3 linked regions of the Oreochromis niloticus genome follow. The protein of the gene in region 2 interacts with the protein of the main gene of each other region in a pairwise test. Links are inferred from orthologs where the notes say so. Each region holds a gene or a part of one and is shown on either strand. Other genes may lie near its edges. The genes, in order: usp15, mad1l1 and rnf8.

Evidence for each region.
Region 1: the proteins of mad1l1 (region 2) and usp15 interact in binary tests that used the Homo sapiens proteins (3 or more experiments, as listed by UniProt). The two-hybrid records come from large-scale screens. The link is inferred for Oreochromis niloticus from reciprocal best matches to the Homo sapiens genes MAD1L1 and USP15.
Region 3: the proteins of mad1l1 (region 2) and rnf8 interact in binary tests that used the Homo sapiens proteins (3 or more experiments, as listed by UniProt). The two-hybrid records come from large-scale screens. The link is inferred for Oreochromis niloticus from reciprocal best matches to the Homo sapiens genes MAD1L1 and RNF8.

What each region holds. Positions count from the first base shown.
Region 1 is NC_031981.2:6,281,073-6,288,830, reverse strand, and holds the start of usp15 (ubiquitin carboxyl-terminal hydrolase 15), read left to right. Parts: upstream 1-3,189; 5' UTR 3,190-3,228; coding exon 3,229-3,317; intron 3,318-4,009; coding exon 4,010-4,137; intron 4,138-4,441; coding exon 4,442-4,572; intron 4,573-5,305; exon of another isoform or gene 5,306-5,364; coding exon of another isoform or gene 5,365-5,397; intron 5,398-6,681; coding exon 6,682-6,808; intron 6,809-7,648; coding exon 7,649-7,758. Other genes in the region: sodium- and chloride-dependent GABA transporter 2, read left to right, coding at 1-150, 232-381. UniProt on the Homo sapiens protein: Hydrolase that removes conjugated ubiquitin from target proteins and regulates various pathways such as the TGF-beta receptor signaling, NF-kappa-B and RNF41/NRDP1-PRKN pathways.
Region 2 is NC_031971.2:11,902,294-11,910,051, reverse strand, and holds the start of mad1l1 (mitotic spindle assembly checkpoint protein MAD1), read left to right. Parts: upstream 1-2,808; 5' UTR 2,809-2,964; intron 2,965-3,465; 5' UTR 3,466-3,466; coding exon 3,467-3,610; intron 3,611-3,710; coding exon 3,711-3,851; intron 3,852-3,925; coding exon 3,926-4,105; intron 4,106-4,201; coding exon 4,202-4,326; intron 4,327-4,449; coding exon 4,450-4,531; intron 4,532-5,535; coding exon 5,536-5,666; intron 5,667-7,568; coding exon 7,569-7,683; intron 7,684-7,758. UniProt on the Homo sapiens protein: Component of the spindle-assembly checkpoint that prevents the onset of anaphase until all chromosomes are properly aligned at the metaphase plate.
Region 3 is NC_031980.2:14,135,061-14,142,818, reverse strand, and holds the start of rnf8 (E3 ubiquitin-protein ligase rnf8), read right to left. Parts: upstream 4,996-7,758; 5' UTR 4,887-4,995; coding exon 4,746-4,886; intron 4,540-4,745; coding exon 4,411-4,539; intron 1,763-4,410; coding exon 1,308-1,762; intron 1,202-1,307; coding exon 994-1,201; intron 239-993; coding exon 176-238; intron 63-175; coding exon 1-62. Other genes in the region: aida (axin interactor, dorsalization-associated protein), read left to right, coding at 6,328-6,434, 7,150-7,216, 7,304-7,357. UniProt on the Homo sapiens protein: E3 ubiquitin-protein ligase that plays a key role in DNA damage signaling via 2 distinct roles: by mediating the 'Lys-63'-linked ubiquitination of histones H2A and H2AX and promoting the recruitment of DNA repair proteins at double-strand breaks (DSBs) sites, and by catalyzing 'Lys-48'-linked ubiquitination to remove target proteins from DNA damage sites.

The sequences.
Region 1 (7,758 bases), on a different chromosome or scaffold from region 2:
ATTAAATACACTCCTCTGAAGTACAACAATGAGTATGTGTACCCGTGGTGGGGATATGTGATCGGCTGGCTGCTTGCTCTCTCCTCCATGGTCTGCATCCCACTGTGGATGGTGTATAAGATCAGCACCACCCAGGGGACACTCAGAGAGGTATGCTGATCATCCTGTCAGTGGAAAACATGCGCCCAACTCGTGTGCTCCCGATTTTAATCTTTGTTTGCTCATTCACAGCGCATCCAGTTGCTCATCAGACCATCTGACGACTTACCTAAAACCAAGAGGGAGCAGGAGAGGTTACTGGCTATCTTTGCTCCAGAGGTAGACACCACCAAGACTACAAATGGCTACTTCCCGGTCTCCGAGGCAGACTCCAACTTGTGAGGCTTCAGTGGTCTGTGGGATCCACTGACTTTAATACATAACATACATGGTGGACTCAGGCGAAAGTAGTGGCATGACGATTTTTGAGTGATAAAATAGGGCAGAAGAAATTAAAAAAGTAGCCTGCCATTTGAATTAAGAACTTTCAGAGTGGAAAGGAGAGTTTTTCAGGGACAAAAGTAATTTAGACAAACTTGTTCTTGAGTCTGGGAATCCATCGGTAAAGTTTATAAGTAACCCAAGAAAAGCAAAGTCATGGGAGGAACAGCTGAATCATTGGATGTTCCATAACACTTAGAGAGCAACTTCTTAATGCTCCTTTATGTATCTGACAACACTGCATGGCTGTTTTGTCATATTTGTATCATATTGTTATGTTGTGATAAATAACTGCAGAGGTTTTCCTTTTGTATTTAGGGAAAATGAGATTATGCTTAACAGTAGACATAATAGGATGCAGAATAAATACTTGGAAATGCAGAATACTGATATGGACTAATATGGTATATAAACTGTAGTTTCATTTTTTGTACTGTAACGTATAATGACTGTACAAAGAAACATTACTGTTGTAAGTGCGGATTGAAAAATAAACTTTGTAAGTTGTCCTGAACCATTTTTTCTTTGCTCTCCGAGGGGAACTTCCTAAAGTCTGAAAAAATAATCCAGATTCGGGGATGTGGATGTTAAGCATGGAAGCTTTAAGGGGGGGAAAAAAGAGTCGCATAGTCTTTTTCACAGCAGCCATTGTTCTTTTCTGCTTAGGCACAGACCTTTAACTAATGTGATCAGTAACGCCTGTGTTTACCTGCTATTTAAATGGAAACTCTGGTGGATTAAACACACTATTATCTTACTCAGGCTTACACCTATAGTACCTCATTCCTTGTGTACACTGGCTTGTAATACAACTGGATTTAAAACAGGTTGGTGCTTGTAGGTGAACACTTGTGACAATAGCACTAAAGGAGTGCAAACTTCTACTTCAAAGCTCACCTAAATGCTTGCTGGGTTCATTTCTCTAAAACATGTTATTCAAGTTGGAACCTGCAGCAAAACACCACTCTTTGTCAGGTTTAAACCACAGACTATATATAAACGTAGGATGTAGTTACTGCTGAAAAAGTGAAGCCACTGTGAAAGTGCCTTACAGCTGCATTGGTTTTCATAGCTAGCAAGAGAGAGCAATAGTCACTGCTAAATACAACATGAAGTTCATTTTGAAAATTATGCTATTTTCAATTATATAATTATATAATAAGTTTTTAGTGTCTGTTGTCTGGTTTAACAAAACTTGATGGAGTTGAGTAACACCAAAGGTATGTTTCAATCCACACACTTGTGTACAATCTTTATATTAGAAAATGAATAAATACAAATGAATACATTTGGCTGATACAAAGGGACATGTCACATGTGCATGTTGGGTTTTGAGACTCTTCAACTTTAACTTTGTACAAATCCACAAATGCATGCAGCATTCAAGTGCTAGTGGAAAACTGGAGCATCTGGGCTTCCTGTGTCTTTTGAACATGCACCTGCTGCTACAAATGTAACTTTAAAAAAAGAAAATCAGTCCGTAACAATCAAAAGTCTCCAATTTTATGAAAATGGAGAACAAATCACCAACAAATCACATCAGGATTTTACTGATATGTTTTTTTTTCTTCATAAAATCATGTTCTATAAAGTGATAAAGTATAACATCTGCGGACTTTGCAAGTGCTTAGCTTGTATAAAGTATGCTATTAAAGGTACCCGTTTAGTTTCAGTTACTTTCCAGAGTTGGATTATTGTTTACAGTTAGTTTTTAAAAAAATATATTGTTATTGCTTTATTAATATTGACTGGTTTCTGTCTTAGTTATTATTATTATTATATGAGCAGTATTTGGCAAAGGTAAAATTTCAGAAGTTCATAATCTTCTATTACAGTGGAACTATTTGACTTGCAGTCATGTAGAAATCCCAGTCTCAGTGAACATGTGCACCACTGTGTCACGATGTTGAGTGTGTTATCAAGGTACACCTGAGTAGCTATTGCAGGAGTAGGTTTGTAGATTGATCAATAGCTCGAGAGATACTTTATTTTATAGTCCTTTGCAGGAAATTATTGTTATGGCAGTTAAACACAGACATAACATGGCACAGCCCAGCAAAACAATATTAATTCATAATAAAATGAAAAATATATAAATAAATAAAACAGCTATGTGCAAATATGCAAACGTGGATACAATCATATTATTTTTATTATTGTACATTGAAAGAATATGAGCTTTCAATATTCATTCAGATTTTTCTTTTGTCATTTGTCAGCTTTTCTAATGTACATTTTAAAGATATTCAACTACTTTAGAGCTTTGAAAACTCAAATCATTGAGCTTTCAGCATTCAGACCACATTTTCTTCAGGAACTGCATTCACTTGTTAATTGTTTTCCTTTTCCAGGTGTAGGATATGTTATAGTGTGAGGTAACTGGCAGTTCATAAAACTCTGCTTTCACAGTACTTTTCCCAAAATTGCAATATTATAGATGGTTCAACGTTCAGATTCTTTATATTGGGATTTTCTCTTCTACAGTGTTCACGGAGTGTTAAAAAGTGTCACTTGTGTTGTTTCCCCTCATTGCTGGTCTTTATTTTTAAAGGCACAGTTTCTTTCTCAGCTGTAAACCCGTGCATCCACAATGATGGAGCACTTTTGAAACATTTTCTAGAATAATTTTGCCACTGGGTGTCACGCTTCCCCTGTGATGATTGGCTGCAGCAGCGGCGTCGCTCTCTACGTGCCTCTATGACGCGCCGCTTTTTTTCCCACCATGCACCGGGGAATGTCTAAGGAAAGATGGCGGAAGGAGGAGCGGCTGATCTGGATACCCAAAGAGGAGAGGTCGCGACACTGTTGAAAACACAACTAAGAAAGGGAGACACTTGGTAAGAATTGACTGTGATCTTTTCAAGGGCACTGCGTGGCTCTGGGCTGGGTCTGCTGAGGCTGTCAACCCCACGGAGGATGTGAAATCCAGACGGCCGGGCCGTGTTGACAGTGAGCTCCGAGCTAGCTAACGGCTGCCTGTCAGCTTCATGTGTCAGCTTGGCAGGCTAGCGCTGGTTGAGCTCACGCTAAGACTCAAAACAGTTAAACTAAATTTAAATGTTGTATTTTGGTGTTTATATCCTTCACTTCCAAAAAACGGTGTCACATATTTTCTGTGGATGTGTAAGGCTACATGCCGTTTGAGTGATACAGATAGTTATCAGGCTATCAGCTAATTGGCTAGCTTGCCGATGATCCAAGCGGTTTGCCTGTCAGTGGGTTCATCCGCCGACTTCAGCAGGGCGGAGTCGGAAAAAAACACCTGTCAAAATCACAGAGCCAGCTGGCTAGGCTTGTAGCAATTTGAACTCAACACGGCGGCTAAAAGCTACTGTTACAACTGTCAGTCTGTGTAATGTATGCCTCCCAAAACCAGATTTGTTTCGGGTACTCACTGCAAGGTAGCCCCAAGGTAACCTGGTTTATAGCCCAATACTTTAATGCAACCCACCACCCCTTTTATTTAACTCTTGACTTTCACATCTTGCTTTTAGTAGAGATGTTGTAATCTTGATTGCTTTCTCTGCAGGTACCTAGTGGACAGTCACTGGTTCAAACAGTGGAAGAAATATGTGGGATTTGACAGCTGGGACAAATACCAGATGGGAGACCAGAATGTCTACCCAGGACCGGTTGATAACTCTGGTCTTCTCAAAGGTAAGTCCAGTAATAGTCCATCTCTTTAGATCTCTATTTTATCCCTTCTAAAAGTATATGATAAATGTATGGGAAAGCAGTTTTTGGTAGGTTAGCTTTATGGACAAGTGACATACACGCACACAAAAAACATTGTCTACTAACCAGAGAGTAGCCTTTCTTTAGAGTGGGGTCATAGAAAGCTCTCCAGCTCACCTTGTTCTTTGTGTGTTATCAATAGTGTAAGTGTTGACCCACAGAATGTGCACAAGAGAACGTGCTTTCTCTTGTTTAACTGCATGTGAATGACCATCCCTCCCTCTAGATGGGGATGTGCTCGCCATCAAGGAACACCTCATTGATGAGCTGGACTACATTCTGGTCCCAACAGAAGGCTGGAATAAGCTCGTCAGCTGGTATGGACTCACAGAGGGTCAGGAGCCAATCGCTCGCAAGGTAAGGGTTCAGTTATTAGCATAAGATTATGAATGGATTTTTTTACATGTTGTTCTGCTGCCAGTTCAGATGGTTTTCTCAGATACAGAATCAGTAGATTTAATGTGCAGTGTGACTTGTGTTGGGGTAAAAGGGAGAACATTGTGCTAATAAGGCTGTTTGAGAAAATGAGACACGCAGCACTTTTGGAAAAGGAAACTTGAACTTGGGTCACTGTTGCTGAACAGTGATAGTGAAAGGCTCTATGATGACAGATATTTAACAAAAAGAACTGCAAAGAATAGTTAACCATTACATTCATTTTTGATATAATTTGGTTGGTCAGGTAGATTTACACAGATTTACTCTGTGTACACTACACAGAATCTCAGAAATAATAGTGAAAGACTGGGTGTTTACTTATCACAAAGAAATTTAAAAAAAAAATAAAGCTGCCTTTCATTCATTTCTTTTATGAATGAAACGCAGTATGTGTGCTTATCTATTTCCATATTAGCATAAGAGTATGTGAGGTTTGCTGGAGTAAAAAAAATGAAGAATTCCTATATGTTTGTGATTACAGTTGAATACTGTGTGATGGCACTTTTGCTATCAAAGCAACTCTTAAAATCTCGCTAGTCATGGCATCATGGCTGCTGGAAGCACTTCCTCTTCCCTCTCCATATCTATCAGTCTGTCTCTCGTCTCCCCCCCTACATTGACCCTCCTCTTTTGCCATGTATGTCATGCGGCGTATCGGGTAGCTGCAAGGTTTCTATTTTCAGGCAACGTTCTGGATGACTGAAAAGCTACATGGAGCGATCTGCGAGACACAACATGAAGGAGGTTTTCTTCTTCTTTTTACCCTATTGTTTCTATATTGTCAACTTGAGGGTGGGGGGTATGCTGGGGGGAACTGTAGGATTGTAGTCATTGGTATGACACTGTGGCTCCTTCCGCTTTCCACTTGTGGTTTGATTGCCAACAATGGTGGAGAGCTCCTGCGTCCTTGTTTTCCAAGCGGAGGAATGCCAGCTGAGGTCACACTGAGAGAAGCAGCGCGAAAGCTTTTCAAAGGAGTGTGAGGAGAGGCAAACCAGTATAGGAGAAGCGGCGTGGGTGGCCTAAATGGTTTTGGCTCGGCTTTGATTTGAGAAACTGTGTCAGAGCTTGGTGGTGAGTTGGACGTTGACTGAGCTCACAGACAGATGGGTGGTGCGCTGAGGTGTACTAGCCCACCAAGAGCCTTGAGTAGGGGAGGGTTGTGGTGCTGAGAGAATCTAAGCTGTGTGTGAAGGACTTTTGCAGTTTAGTAGCGTCAGTGTCTGTGTGTTGGAGGGGCTCAGGGGTGAAATAAATAGGCTGGGACCCCTCAGCTGTTTCCACGAGGTGCTGCTAATTTAGGCACTTCACTCTGACTGTGAAGTATCAGGACTCCAGATGAGTAGAGACCAGCGCAGCAGAGCTTAGTGTGCTTTGTTATCCATTTTGTTAAACTTTTTCTAGCACATTAAACTTAGGAGTTTGCTTTCAGTCTTGCAGGAATTTGATGAAAAGGAGATAAGAGTTGCATCATGATTATTTTTGCCAGGTTGGTGTCACAGTTTCTTTTTGGGTGCCTAAACTTCTGTCAAAGCTAAGCTCAGCCATGATAACAATTGGACAAACATCTTACAGTCAAAGGCTTCTGCTGGAACAACTCAGCCAAACTTGCCTCTATGTTGGAATCTTAAACATTTAGTTTTTCATGTTTTACTTCTGTCTGTTCAGCCTGACTTGTTACTGTTGTCTGTCGTGTAATGTAGTGCTACATTCCTGTTTGCTGATTAGTGGACGGTCAGATTGTGAGATTTTTACACAGTTAAATTGATGTTCCAGGGTATTTTTCCTTGCAAGGCCGTTGTAAGTGCAAACGTTAGACTTCTCTAAGGCAATCATTTCTGAGTTATCTACACAGTTCTTTTACATTGATTGATCTTTTTGTGTGGGACAGCCGAAAATCATACAGTATGCACCCATCTTAAGGGTTACTCATGAATTAGGGCCGTGTCCCTCATTCATTGCGTAATAATTTAACATTAGATAATCATGGTTTAAAGCAGTAAATTGATTATCATCCTCTTTTTGCAGGTGGTTGAACAGGGTATGTTTGTGAAGCACTGCAAGGTAGAGGTGTACCTGACCGAGCTGAAGCTCTGTGAAGACAGCAATATGGACAATGTGATCACCAAACGCTTCAGTAAAGCTGACACAATAGGTAGGCACTGCCTAAGCAGTAGTAAGCACTGGTTTCAGCAGAATTCCAAGGTTATAGGATCTCAGTTCACATTTCACACTAATTATATATAAATACATTTACTGTTTGTGGTATTTGTGTTTAAATTAATAGTTTTTCCAACTACTGTTGCCACATGATGATTTATTTCCCCTTTTTGCTGCAGGGAAAACAAAGAAATCTTGTACATAAAACTAAGTGTTTTTTTTGTTTTGTTGTTGTTTGTTTTTTGTAAGTATTATGCAGTTGTGACACAACAGATACACACTAGTAAATGCCATATTGTTTGCCAGTGTATGGATACTAGCTATTGTATCCTTGCATTGAAACATGAAGTAAAAACTGTTGTTTTGTTTCTGTTGTTGTTTATAATTCAGCAGGCTGTGCCCCCCAGCCAGAGCTAAAGAAAATAAAATGGAAATAAAATAAATTTTACGTGTTTTCAAAATGATTTACTCAAGCGTGATTGACATTTTTGTTTATTGAGTTAGATAACAGTAAAGTGCGAAGATTAAAAATACAGACTTGTGTTTATGTGCATGGTCACCCCACAAATTCTCATTCTGAGCCAGGAAAACATTCTTGGAAGTACAAATGATATACAACATGGGTCTAAATATACCCTTGGGATTTCAGATATTAGAATCACCTCCTGCGTGCATTCAAACACATGAACTTTACACTCTGCTCATGTTGTTTTTGAGTAATTGTGTTTAAGTAAATATTTACTTTATTCTGTGAGTGTAATGCCTTCTTTTTTTCTTTTTTTTTTTTTTTAAACAGCACAGTGTTAACTGCATCTTTTTGCTAATATGTTTGTAGATATGATTGAGAAGGAAATGAGGAAGCTGTTCAGCATCCCTGATGAGAAGGAGACCAGGCTGTGGAACAGGTACATGAGCAACACCTTTGAGCCTCTCAACAAACCTGAC
Region 2 (7,758 bases):
GCTGATTAATTAGGTAAATGTAAAAGAGTAACACATGGAATGTTTATCAGCTATTTTCTGGCCTGTTGATAAGGATGAGGAGGATTATTGCCTTTTAAAAAGTGACTATCGAGAGAGCCTGAAGCGGTTCATTTTGACTTCACAGCCAGAAAATGTCCAAAAATGAGGTGATTTTTTAAAAAATACTAAATGACAGATTTTAAAGTCTGTGATGTCACTGCAGAGAACAAAAGCATTAATTAGGTCCAACAACATGAGTGAGATTCGAGAAATAAATATCACTAGAGTGACTAAGAATAAATTCACAGAGAATAGATCTTTGAAGGAAGCTTTAGTGTCCAAATCAGAACAGGTCATAAAGTGTTCACTTCCATCTGAAGTCGACAGCTGTGCAGCCTGCTCTGGGGCAGGATGATTTAATGGAGGAGTACGAGTACCTGGGCGTCCACACTGACATAGGCTGAAATGCAAGCCTAACACAGAGAAAGTGCACAAGTAGGGGCTCTTTTTCATAAAGAAGCTGAGATCCTTCAATATGTTCAGCAAAATCAGTCAGCTGTGGCGAGCACAGTGCACTTTGCTGTGGTCTGCAAGGGAAGCTGGTGACACCAACAGACTGTATAAACTGATTAGGGAGGATAGCTCTGTGATTGGATGCAAACTGGACACTTTTGAAGCTGTGGTGGTGAGGAGGTCACTAAACAAACTGTGTTCAACATGCATAATGCATGCACCCTGTGCACCACTTATTGGACAGGTAGCAAAGGACCTTCTCTAGCAGGCTGATTCAGCCCTGCTGCTAAGAAAAGATTTAGGAACTCTTTCATACCGCATGCTGTCACCAGTAATACATCATGTGTGTCTGGTACAGAGTCATCTGAATAATAATGCATACTATTCATTTTAATATTGTATATAATATTATATATATATATATTCAATTCTTGTCATTATTTTTTGTCACCTGGCTGCAATGCTGTCTCTTAGCTTCCAGGACCACAGCACTCCTGGAAAAGATGCGAGTGGATACCAACTAATTAATTGTCCCTGGAAGATGTATGGCACAGCAGACCAGTGAAAAAAGCACATCATATCCACAGACTGTGACCTGCCCACAGCAGCACCCTCTTCAGCAACCAGAGGGAGCAGCCTGACACTGAAGAAAGAGGTGTTTTTACAGTCAAGATAAACAAGTTTCAGCAGGAAGAATGAAAACACAGATTTATGCACATTACAAAACATTTTTAATAACTTTATCAAAGTGAAATATTTTCAGAAGCAACTGTATGACTTACCCTTTTACATATTTATAACAATTTTAATGGTTTGATGTTGAAGTATATAAAATGATTCTATCTGAATTAATTTTGCTCATTTTGCAAGATCCTCTTTTCTCACTGATGATGGACCTTTGTAAACGGTGAGTGTCACATTTATTGAGTCCTTTTTCAGAATCAGCTTTGTGGAGATATGCTTGGATGAGTGCCTATATTTCAGTAATGTTTTAAAATGGCTAGATATGAACATTGGCTCACCGTGTACAGTTTTGGCTTTTTTTTAAATGGGTTATGAAACTGAATAAAAACAGAACAGAAAAGAATTTGGGAGCTGTTAAAGTAAAAAAGAAGAGAACAACTTTAATATACATCATCGTAGTGTGATTCAGAGTGTTATAGCCCAGAGTGAATGTGGTTTACATCACTGTTTATCTGATCAATCAATCACCACTTTAGTTATGTTTCTTGAAATGAATTGAACTCAACTGAATTAATGCAGGAAATCACCACAGGATTTGGGACGCTGGTAGATAGCAAAACAGCAAAGTGGCTATTCACACTAAATTTTGAAGAACAATAATTTAATGGAATAAAATGAGTACATGGAACACAGTTTAAATTAAACTACTATCATTCTCACACAACCTGAGGATCTGGAGGCATTCAAGAATTTGTAACAGGGTGGACACAATTCGACCAGGGGGCAGTAGTCCCCTAGTTTGAGCCAAGTCTCAGTGAAACAGAAAATGTCTAACATGTGAGAGGTGATGGAATCGTTAGGAACAAATGATTTATTGGACAAAGATCTGCTGTTAAAAAGGGTGATAATTGCAGGAGAGTGAGGTTTCAGACACATAGGCTAACAGGACACAATAATGATCGGGATCAATAAAATGACTCACAAGGCTGGAACCATCATTGGCCATAATTTGGAGTCAGTGAGGGACAGGAGGTCACTGAACAACTTGTCTCTATCATGGAAAACCCACCACACCCACTCTGCTCACATTTCTGACATAGCCAAGCTCCTCCTTCACCAGACTGACCCAAAACCCTGTCACCAGATAACAATGCTTCAGGAAATTATTCCTACCGATCTCTGTAAAACTGCAAAATAACTTTTATTTATGTGATAGCTGAACACAGTAGTCCCAAACATATTACATAGTGTATAGTGTACATATTTATTAATGCAATTTGCACTAAGATTATTATTAAACCTGGGTTTACAAATATGGTAAAGTGGAGGTGGTTGACCTCTAAGGGTAGTAGTGGTATAACAGAGGTTGTGCAAATGGTAAAATTCTATCTAATAGTAATAGTAAGAAAACAGCTCTACCCGAATGGTGCCGGAGTTAACAGGCTTTTCCGAGCATAATTGTATTTATTATTAGAAAACCAGAAATCAGAGGGGAAAAACAAACAATAAACAAACTAACAAAGAAACACGGGGTTTTAATTAAACAGTGCACGATTTATTCGTTTTCCCTATAAAAACAAACAAAAAAAGTTTGCTTTTGATACTCGCGATGGTACCAAATCTCGCGATACTACGTGCATCCCATTCGAGCTAAACTGGAGGGATTTCTGTAGTATTTAGTGAGCAGCTAACACGTTAGCAACACCGAGATAACCTATTTGCAAATAACTCGCTCCTTAAAAATAAAGAAACCAAGCCGGCTCAGAGGTGAGGACGTATTCTTACAAGCGATACCCATTTGTTTGCTACTTAAACGTAGCGTAGGGGGAATAGCTGTAGAAAACAGTCATGGTAAACTGAACTCTTGTCTAGCCTGTGGTGATACAGGAGTGAAGCAGTTTAAACTGTTCTTAACAAACCAGTGAATACCTTCTTGAGATAATTCTTGATAATTGCCAAATATGGCAACTAACGTAAACATTAGCTTTTGGTTAAGCTACTAAAGTTGTTTTCGTGTTTGTGCAGCTGAGCAAAGAAGCTAATACCACTTTTATCTTACTTTGCACTTTTACGTAGTTAATGCTAGGCACCTGTCTGCATATAACATTAACCTGTTAACATTTTTATCGTAAAGTTATAAAGCATGAAAATGGTGCACTTTAGAATTACTTAGCTAAACTTTACATGGCCGTTGTGAAGTCTTTTTTTTTTTTTTTTTTTTTTTTTACTCGTACTGTGAGCCTTTCGTTTGTGTGCTGCATCTTCCAGAATGGATTTAGAAGACGACACGACCATTTTAACAACCCTGAAGTCCTTCAATTCCTTCATCAGCCGCCCCGAACATCCACAGCGGCTGTCAGAGCACTCAGCAGGGAGTGGAATCCTGCAGAGTCAGTACAAGCGCAGCATGGAGGTACATACAGAAACTGTTTGCATCAACAGGGGGCAAAAAAGCTGAACAAAAATAGCATCAGCATTCAGCCTCCGCACTTACTAGCATATCCTTCTTTTAGCTTTTAGAAGCAGCAGAGAGGGTTCACTCCAAGAATCGCTACCTGCAGTTGGACCAGGAAAAGAAACAGATGGAGCTGAGTCACAAACGGGCTCGTTTTGAACTGGAGAAGGCAGCCTCAGACAGCGCACGAGACTTGGAGGTACATGCCATATATACTCCTTTAATACCACATGAACAAAGCATCAGATAGCTCACCACCTTGTTATGTTGCAGCATGAGGTGGATCGGAACCAGGAGCTTTTGGGACAAATAAAAAAGCTGGAGGAGAGAGCGGAGGAGGCGAATAAGAAGCTAACAGAGCAGAAGGAAGCAAATGATGCTCTCCAGATGAACCTGGAGGGTCTAAACAAGACACTGGAGGAACGAGATGATAAGCTTGGCGCAGCTAACCAGGTGCACGCATGCTTGTAGATTTGCACGCACAGTTATTTTGCCAGTCTGGTAGTGCCTCTTATCTTATGCTGGATTACCTCTGTTATCGGTTTGCAGACCATCAGCTCTTTGAAGGATGAGATCAGAGAGCTCAGGCAGAAGATTCAAAACCAAGACTCAAAAATCTCTGGTCAAACGCTCGAAAACCAGGAGTTACAGGAAAAGCTAGATTTGCAACAAAGGTACACACACACACAGACAGGGACTGACACTTCTTTGCTCTTTTTCATGCTAAAAAATATTGAGCTGTACTGCTTAATATAAATGCTGACCATGCAGTTTTCTCTGATTGCTGTTATGATCAGGAAGTATCAGGAAGTCTCTCAACTTTGCCAGAGTCTCCAAGCTGCGCAGTCGTCATGCTCTGAGCACATAATCAAGATTAAGGTACGAAATGCTGTCGCTTCTATTGGGCTCCTTGGGTTTCACTTCAGAGTTTACATGGTGTACGGATTTGTCTGTAGTTCAGAACATTCCAGTGTCCACAGTTCATGGAGAGGAAATAGTTGAAATAGTTAAGAATAGCAGTTTGTACATCTTTGCACTGATGTAGATGGTGTGGTTAAACAGCGTTATGCAGCTCACTCTACGTCAAATGTAAACCTACTAAATATGATTACGATTTAGACTTATAACCAATGCAGGCAAGATCATGTGCAGTATATCTGTTCAATTTTCTACATATCAGCTTTTTTGTTCAAACTACCTCTCTCCTTCAAATTGCATAATATCAGTTTAAATGTATTTTTTCCCCTCATAACATACACTTATTGAACATACCATTTTCAGCACCTTCAGAACAGCCTTAATTTTTCAGAGCATAGATTCAACAAGGTGTTGGAAACATGCCTCACAGATTTTTGTTCATATTGACATGATGGCATCACACAGTTGCTGCAGATTTGTCTGTCTGTTGGACTGAGGTCTGGGGGCTGTGGAGTACACTGTCATGTTCAAGAAACCAGTTTGAGATGATTTGGAGTCTTGTGACATGTCATATTATCTTGCTGGAAGAAGCCATCAGAGGTTGGGTACACTGTGTTCATAAAGAGACAGACATGGTCAGCTACAATCCTCAGGTAGGGTGTAGGTTTAAATGATGCTTAGTTGGTCCTAAAGCCCCTTTTCCATTAGTATTCACTCGGATCAGCTCGACATCGATCAGGCAACATTTTTCTAATCTTCTGTTGTCCAATTTTGGACAATAAAAGATTGCTGAGTCGTTGCCACGTGATTGGCTGATTAGATATTTACATTAATACAGGTGTAGGTGTGTGTGTGTGTGTGTGTGTGTGTGTGTGTGTGTGTGTATTACAGGTATTTGTTTCCATAAAGTGAATACAATCTGAAAATTGTATTACTGGTGAATTTCTCACTTTCTAATTTGGCAGGAGTTGGAAAGGCGGCTTGCGTTCCAGGAGCAAGACTTTGCCATTGTGAAGACTATAAAGTCAGAGGCGGCCAGAGTTCCAGATCTGGAAAAGGAGCTGAAGCGCCTCAAAGATGATAATGCCTACCTCAGGTTAAATACATTTTTGAAGTTTCCTTAACATGTAAACTCATTACACTCTAGTGCAGGGACCTTTCAATCCACAAGTTCCAATTCACACACATATACCACAAGCTCTTTTCTTTAACAAGTGTTTTTGGTATTTGTAATATGTGTTTGTGCCTGTATCGTCTCTAAAACCTTACACTATATGTTTAGGTTGATTCTGTTTGTACCACGTAGTTTGGATGTTACTGGGCATTAATGAGCATACAAGCACTTTGAAAGATTAAGTTGGATAACAGAAGATCCATTTGTCAAGTAACAGCCAAACAGCTTGTCAGACTAAGTGGAGAAATTCAGCAGTTGGTGTGTTTATCCACTTATCCTTTCTGTTGTATTACAGACATCTCAATTTAAAGCACGAAACTCTTTATACTTTCTCAAGATAACAGATTAAAAATTTTGCTGAAAATACCATAACTGTAACTAGGAATGTTCCTTATGCTATTCATAAGTCGATTAAATGGGGGGCGTGGGGGACTGACCAGTCTAAAAGTGCTCAGACAATCAATATACTGGCGACCTGTCCAGGGTGTACCCCGCCTCGCCCTATGACAGCTGGGATAGGCTCCAGCGCCCCCCGCGACCCTGAAAAGGATAAGCGGAAGTGAATGGATGGATGAAATTTGTGACACTTTGTGCTGTGCATACACATGCACATTAGCTTGCAAAGTGTGCCAGTGTTTTGCAGCTATCTGTCCTTGCAGATAAACCTTCACACACTTCACACAGTTATGTATTCTCCGGTCGAGTGTTTGTGTGTGTGTAACTGTCTTGAACAGGAACAAAGCTAATTAACCATTTTTTAAAATTTATTTGTTTATTTTTTAAATTGGAATATTATATTAGTAGTGTGGTGAGGGTGTGAGGGGACATGCTCCTCACACTCTGCCCATCTCCTATAGAAAATTAGTAAGGAAAACAAGGAAGGGATGTGCATAATGGAAAGGATCATCACACTAAGATTATTCTGGCAAGACTTAAATGGAATTCTGCAGAGCTGCACTGGTTAGGAGGACTATCACCCTTCTTACTTGTTTACATGTTTTGAGACAGAGAGGGTGACTGGGGGGCAAGGGGCTGCCATTTACTGAGAACTCCTGCTTATCATCTCAGGGCCAACAGTCGACTGGCATACATGAATGAAAACTCAATAAGTACTTGTTCATATTACTGAGTACTGCTGGTGCTGGATAGCAAGAGGAGCAAATATTCCAGGTTTAGTCTGGGAAATGTGCCTGAAAAGAAAGACCATGTGGATCAATCAGGGTTTGGTCTGATCTTCCAAGGCGAGTCTATTGTCTGGTCTCTGATGGTAGAGCAGTCCTCAAACTGTGGGGAGAATCTTGTTTCACATTGTCTGAAACAACAGAAGGAAGATTCTTCTTATATCTCCTAATCAGTCTCTATTGTCTGGACCGAGCTCTTTTCCCTTATTCTTTCCTCCTCTGCAACCTTTGCATTTTTTTCCCCCTAATTTCTACCGGCTTGTGTCAGCATAATCAGCTCCCTGGTGTAAACAATGTGAGCTGGGCAAAAATAGTGTTGTTGATTGAAGTGGGTAATAACATGGCCAAAACATATCGGAAGTTTCTCAAGTAGAGTTCACAGAAAAGTCACCCTAATCCAACAAGTGTGACTAAAGTAAAGAAAACATGAACTAGTGAGAGCAATATATTATAGCTATAATGCACAGTTGGTACATTGTTACGTGCATTTGTCGTCAGTCACTGTAATGTTAATATTGTTGAAAACGGGTTTCAAAATTGCATCCGAGTGTGACTGCAGCCAGGGACTGAAAGTTCCTCCATGTCTTGCATTAAACACTGAGCTATCAGTTTAATTTACTTTTTTTGTCTCTGTTCTGTCCAGGGAGAGCAGAGAAAATTGCAGCCTGTTGAAAGAGGAGGTGGAGGGTCTGCGGAAGAAGCTGGAGAGGATGGAGAAAACCAAAGAAGAGCTGATCAACATGGAACTGGAAAAAGAGGTAAAAGTCTGGGCAGTTAGAAATATAGATATTAAGAGAAGTATGTAATAAACAAAGCTTCAATGAGACATTTTT
Region 3 (7,758 bases), on a different chromosome or scaffold from region 2:
GCCAAGAGAATCTCTTCAAAGCCTTGTCGAGAGAGCGCAAGTTCACCTATCACTTTCTTTTGCTAAGGGTTTGTGGAAAACAAATTCACATATTAAAACATATTCTGCTTTACCAAAATGTAAGCACTCTGAATTCTAACAGCTACTGCACAGAAATTAGTTTGATGCTACATACTTCTTGCAGGGCCTCTTCAAGCTGCTTTTTTAAAAGCTCCTCTTGTTGCTGCGTTTTCTGCTCCTACAAGCATAAAAAGGCGAAAGAGAATATTTTGAGTCTTGCAATTATTTATGCAAAAATTGTATTCTTTGGACTATAGGTGCAAAAGTATTGGGCCTACATCGCTTAATCTTTCAGTTTTTGTCCATCTGTTATAGAACTGCTGATCACCATGAAACATGCTGAAAGCGTATCAGCATATCATCCCAATATCTGTGCATCTACTTTCACACAGAGGCTGTATTTACCCTCTATGTGAGAGTAGAGGCCTGTGTGTTCCTTGATGGATGTGCCTCTACAGATCATCATGAACACAACACCAAAGCAGTTTTAATAAACAAGCACAACATTTCCCAGTGTCTATCATTCGTGCTTAGGGTGAACTGTTCTCATCCGTGAAAAGGAGAGACCTGCCAATTCTGGTATTCTATAGCTAATTCCAATCGGGCACCACAGGGCAGTGAGCACAGCCCCCAGTGGAGGACGTCAGCCCCTCAGGCCACCCTTATGAGTCTGTTTCTGACTGTTTGGTCAGAGACAATCACACCAGAGGCCTGCTGGCTGTCAAATAACTAAAATTTAATGACAGACGTGATTTAAAATATCAGCTTACAAACCAGGGCCAATAAAGCATGAACTGTCACTTGTAGGAGCTTTTAAAAAGAAAGTAACAACAAGACAACAAACAGAGGCTATTTTTAAAATGGGTGCTAATGAAGGAAACATAAAAGACACTATAAGAAAACAACAACAACAAAAACAAAAAAACAACTCACCTCTAGCAGCCTTTTAGTCTCACTAAAAGACTTCTCTAATGTCTCCATCCTGTGCATTTTAGCTCTGAGTGTATCTAGCTGACCTCGCAGCTCCCTGACCTGCTCCTCTCTGAGCGGGTCAGCCTGTCGGGGCTCCCCCTCCAGGGAGGCGACATGCCTCTGGGTGTCATCCACCTGCTCCCTTAAGAGCAGAATGTTCTGACTGTACCTGCAGACAATAAACACAGGAAGACAAAACTTCAGAGTAGTATTTTTAACTCACTCTTTTATTACTGGGTACATTTATTTCTTATCTTGCTGTTACTCTGGCTTACATTTGCAAGTTGTCCAAGTCACGGGTAGCGCTGGAGCCATCTGAAGGTCGTTCTGCTTGACGGTCATCTCTGCCAGGTCCGGTTCCCTCTGGCTTTGTGTGACTGAGTCGCTGCTGACCTTTTAGCAGAAATAAAGGGCAGGGCACTGCCAAGGACTTGTCTGCAGAAGAGCAGCGGTAGAGTTTGGGCTTCGAAGTAGATGGCTCCACTTCTTCCATGGTCAATTTCCTCTTGGGCTTCTTAGATATGTGGGCAGATTTTGAAGTTACTCGTTCTACCAGTTTCTTTGCCAGGAAGCATTTAATGTCTCTGAGGGGCTCCTGGACGAGGACATAGTCAAACTCTGCTTTGTTTCCAATTACAGGAACTCCGAGCTGTATGGAGTCTCCAAGCCTGAGCTGACGGGATTCATCAGAAGGCAGACGAGTTCCATTCACCCACACACCATTGAGACTCTGAGGAAAAAAAACAGAACCAATATAATACACTGGTACAGAAACATACTTAAAACTGAATTAACTTGAGATTTTAAATGCCCAAACTTAAGCTCAGACATATTGCCAGTTGCTGGAAATAACAAGACTGTAAAAAGGCATTTATGGATAAGGGTCAGGAATATTGACTAGTTATAAAATTATAATTTTTGTGCACAAGGTAGATAACAAAACCAGCAGCATTTATCGCCTCAACTAATTTGCCCTGGACAGGCCTTTAAAATACAAACTCATCACACGGCTGAAAGGCAGCACATGCAAATATTAAGTGACCCACTAAATTTCTTGGACTTTGTAGCATCTGGTGTGACCCAGAGCCGTATCCCAGCTGGGAGACAGGAGTAATTTTCCTTTTGTGGGCATGACAGAGGTGGTCAAAAGATGTCACGAAGGTACTGTGGATTGTTTGTAATCCATGTGTCTTGTACAGGATGTTCACACAACAAGCCTACACTACTTAAACATCCTGTCTCCAAGACATTTACACATGCTGGAGAGTAAACTGTTTAAGGATATTTCCTCACACCGAAACAATTTCAGGAGCCGTCTCAGCGGGTGAGTCCACTCCTTCGTGTCCAGGACACTGAAACGCTTTTCAAACATGCAACATTTTACAATGACGTCATTCTGCCGTTCAGACTGTAGGTCACGTCCACGTTAACGTTCCCCACCACAGCTTCATTCAGAGAAACATACAAAAGGGATGGGCACAGAGCCATAGTAGGCATGTGATTTTTACAGCATGTCCTAGATTAATACAATGAAGATTTCTACAACTTGCAGTACCAGTTATATTCTGATAGCTGCTTAGCTGCTGCTAAAAATATAAAACTGAGATGCTGTGTAAACACAGGTACACAGTATCATTCTGTGTTAGAGCCTGATTGATCCAGTCTGTCTTGTGCCACATGAGTTAATGTTTTTAGCTCTCCTCTGAGAGGCTCATGGGTAGATCCTGTAGCGGTTTGATGCTGCAGGAACGTAATAGACGCAAAGGAAAAGACACGGCTGGAGGCAACAATCTGGCTTCAGCTTCCGTCAAACTTCTTTCAAACCCAGATTAAAGCTGTTACCGATAAGCCCCATTAATGTGACCCATAATAAACTCAATGTGATGAGGGAGGTATGTAATAGACATTTCAGTCTGTAGCTGGTGTGAAATAGTAAGCACAGCAATTATTAATTTTTGTACATGAGATTACCAAAGACTACATAGTTGAGTTCAGAAAGCAAAATGAAAGCAAGTATGACAGGGAGTGATTTATTCATGAGCTGCACACTCGGATAGGCTGAGGCTGAAATGGAACAAACTGACAGGTGTTACAACCGAGAGCTGTCCAAACCTGACAGAGATAAATTTGGGACTTTTTAAGCAGATCCAGATAAAGACACTGAAATGAACCCATAACTGGAACTGGTATTTTTCCATTGTATTGTACACCAGGATGTGTTGCATAAGTCAGTGCTAAAAATGAACACATTACTGATGCTTGTTGCACTTTTGATTCCCTACTGCAGAGAACTTCAAGTCAGTATCACCACTGGATTTGAATTCTTCTCTCAAAAAGGAGAACTTTCAACACATAAGAAGGCATGCACAGAAGATGTTGGTCCTCTTTGAATCTAACTTTGTATGTAAACAGACCTTCTCATTAAGAAAGTTAATCATATCCCACCTCAGTGCTGACACTGAACCGGACTTTAACACACTTGTTAAGGGCCAAAACAGACTAGATTTCATTCGGTGAGTAAGGAAAGAAAGGCAAAACTGCAGATGAAGCAATTTAGACTACAAGTAAAATACCATAGCATGGAAATTTTGCATAAGGATGCACACTGTTTTAACAATCTTTGGGGAAATGTTCATTAAATAGAAATGGTAAAATATTGGCGCTTTAACTTAATCTATTTCACATTTTCATTGCCTAACATCTAATGTGATTCAATGTTGCTGTTGAAAGTCCTGAACCTTTGGCCTTCTGCATTTTAGTGTACCTCAGAACATAAAACAGTATATGATTAGTATGGTATTGCTGTCCACCTTTCATCTTATGTTGCTAGAGTTATAAGGGTTTGAAACTTTTGCTACTTGTCTATGTATAATTTGTGGTATCTGTTGCACAGTTTGCAAAACTTATTTTGTTGCCATTATATAAAGATGAGCGTGATAAATAAATACCATGAAATGATATACAGAATAACATAAACTTCCTACAACACAAATGGGCAAAATTGACATTCCCTGACATCCTTTATTTGTGATGAACACATAAATACATAAAAAAGTTGACAATGCTGATGCTCAAGTGTATTTATGGCTTTATGTCACAGTAAACCAGACTGACTCAAAACTTCACCAAATGCCAACATAATACTGGTGGGTTTTAAAACATGGACCCATTCTTATCTTCTAGATCTTCCCAAACTAATGGGGTTTAACATAATTTAGTAATATGTGCATCATGTTTTAATTTCGTGTGGCTCTATTTACTTTATCCACGTCAGCATGCCTCCCTTAGAGAAAGTGCAGCCCATCCCTGCACAGGACTTGTACCAAAGACCTCTAGCACAGCCTTTAAAATATATTTCACAATAAAGCTCGTTGTCACCTTCTTGTCTGTCACTGTCCAGTGGCCGTCTTCACTTTGTTTGAAAGTGCAGTGCAGTCTGGAGATCATCAGGGGACAGGCTGGAGACAGTAGTTGGTAAGTTACATCCACACCACGTCCAATGGTGATCTGCACAGCCAAAAATAAACACGTTAGTTAGCTCCACTCTGCATCTCTCCAGTTCTATAAAAAACGGACAGGGACACTCTTCAGCTTAAAACAATTCTAAATTATTAACCATAAATTGAGGGTAATGTTCCCCCTACATGTAAACTGGAATCTGCCGTGAACCTGAGCAAGCTTCATGTTAGTATAAATATAGCACGTTAGCTAACATTAGCAAGCTGCACCTCTGTGTTTTCGAACAAGCGAAGCCAGTCAGAGTTTCTCCCGACTCTCATCAGACAAAAAACCTCCGAGTCCGGACATTCATCGTCTTCAACCGCACAGCAATCCGCTGCCGTCTCTTTATCCATCTTATCTCATTCTATCAGCGGCCAAGTCGTCCGAAAGGACACCACTAACTGCGTTGTTTCAGCTCCTCCGCCACATCCCGACATACTGGGAGAAACCGGAAGACATTTCATTTTCTTTCAAAATAAAGGCCACAGATGTGCTTCAACGCTTATCTTTGGACAGCCCATGAATCACTTGGATCCCTCTAAAATCATTTAGTTTTTTTATTAATTCAAAATTTATTCAGCTTTTGCAGACCCAAAGTAGAAATATTACGGTGTCCATGAACATATTACAGTAGGGACAAAACAAGACGTAGAGTTTTATGTTTCGTCACTCATTCAAGTAACTTCTTCAGTTCACACAATGCATTATGCGAATATACTGTTTATAGAGTTGCTAATAAGGTCTGGAATTTAATTGCCTGCATGACTGAGCAACCATCAAGACAAATAAATAAATGAAATAACACTTTTAAATTTTACCCTGAACCAGCTGCTTAAAGTAAATACACCCATTTAGTTATATTAACACTGAAATACTCTTTTTTTTTTTTTACCCTCTCCACTTCATTTTCACCTCAGGAAAAAAAAACAAATCTTTTACAATTGAAGGTCAAGAATTATAATAATTTATAATTATAATAAAAAGTAATCATGTGGACCCTGTTAGTGTTGTAATAACACATGTTTAACTTCAAACCTTTTAATTATTCCTACATATAATAAGTTTGTGTTTGTTAGTTTGCATTTTGTATTGCCTCAAGACACCGTAGACGTCTATAATTTCTTTTGTTTTATCTCTTTTGGTAAGCACATTGAGTATAAGTGTAAGGAATGGTGCTATATAAATAAAACTGACACTGACACTGATATTACACAGTCACAGTCATATTGTATTTTATTATAAATATTATTTGTTTTTTCGTTAGAGCTTGTGTTTACTGTTATTTACCATTCAAAAGCAGTGTAGTGAAAGATACTTATACCTAAAAAAAAAAAAGAAGAAAAAAGTGGAGAATACAACAACAACAACAAAAACCCAAACAGCCAAACATGAACATTGTTACTTTGCAGTATTTTAACCGTAGTACTGCTTCATAACTGTTGCTGGTGTATACAGTTGTTAAAAATCCCTGCACCTTTAAATAAAATAGCTCTTCTTTCTCCCCGCAGCTCTCAAACCTCTAACGCGCCGCGGTGCTCTTCGTCCATTCGGGCGACCCCGAGTCCCGAAACGCGCGCACCCCGAGCTCCAGGCGGGACTTCCTTTCTCCTGCGGATGCGCTGATATTAGGGTGAGCAGGCAGAAAGGGCTTGGTCGGGGTGTCACCGGTCTATCCGCGCGCCTCTGCACAGCAGATGACCTGGCCGACGACTCCGCTGCCGCTGAAGCCCCGTAGATGAATCTCCTCCTCGGCTATGCTGCCCTGAGAGCGCCGCGAGTATCCGCCCCGCCAACATGTCTGATGTCAACAAGACTATTCAGAAATGGCACGCCAGTTTTAAGAAAGGCACAGACTTTGACTCGTGGGGACAATTAGTGGAGGCTATAGATGAGTACCAAATGTAAGTTGCATTCAACATGTGTGTCCTGTGTGTCCACAGCGCTGGTTTAACCCGAACGCAGTCCGGGCGCTGTGCTTCTTCTTTTTTTTATTCTTTTCCTTTCTCTGGGTCGCCTGTCCCTAAAATCTGCAGGGAAACATGTAGGAGACAGTAGGTGCAAGAAGTTAGCCCGTGTGCTGTCAGTCAGCTCTCGGAGCAGTAAATAAACCCTACCCATCCATGACGTGATGTGGCAGTTGTTGCAGTGGGGAGCAGATGTGTTGCCTGATGCATCCTAGCTCCGTCCACAGCAGCACTTTGGAGTTTAAGGGAGAGTCCGTCCATGTAGCCTGTCATGGAAAATCGGTCGGAGCTGCGAGCAGTCTGTTTCATTATGTGTCATGCAATGCAGAAACGGGCCAGTATTCCTCAGAGTGTTGGGAAACAGTCAGCCACACCCTCTCATTGTTATGGGTGGGTTTCATCTGCTGAGTGAGGAATGGTTTCTGCTTCTCAGACCAGATCTTTGTCTTTGCAATTTCCTTAAAATGTGCCCAGCTTCTCTCCCAGTTAATAGTTTATTTAAAACTGCACTAACAATACAAAAATCCAGATCCATGCAGCAGCTTCTACTGTCCGCAGGGGGGCGCACAGACACACACCTTACCTTATAGGAGTCTTGCAGGGTCTTGCAGTGAATCATTAACGCGTCTGTGTTTCATGTGGGTTCGTGTAGTTTGGCAAGACAACTGCAAAAAGAAGTCCAGTCAACAAATTCATCAGACTTCACCGAAGAGCAGAAGGTAATCATTACATCCGCCTGCAGCTTCTGCACCGGAGTGTCTGTCACTTTACTTAAACTAACAAGTGTTTTTTTTTTTCTTTTAAAGAAAACTCTGGCAAAGATTGCAACATGTCTGGAGATGAGAAGTGCCAGTTTGCAGGTTTGTATAGGAGTCTGCATGATTAGTAGCTACAGAAAGGAGGCAATGTCCAGGTTTTCAGAGATGCTGAGGTCATCATTATTATATAAAAGTAAAATTTGAGCATCAGCAGTTTTACTTATGCATATAACGCTTTTGAAAGTGGTCTTGAGCAATAGTTCTCCAGGCTTTCTGAAGGTCTTTCAAAGTTTGTCTTTGGACATTGGCCAATGGTCCTTGTACCTGACCATTTCCAAAGGGAAGTTTTTCCTTGTTAAGTCACTTAACACTAACCTGTGACTCATTCAAGCATAAAAAGGCACCTAATTCAAGGGACAAAACGGTCTTGTATTTACACATATCAGGCAACTTAGCAAAGAAACAATTTAAAATGTTATCTTTAGACACTTTGAGTTTTAAAA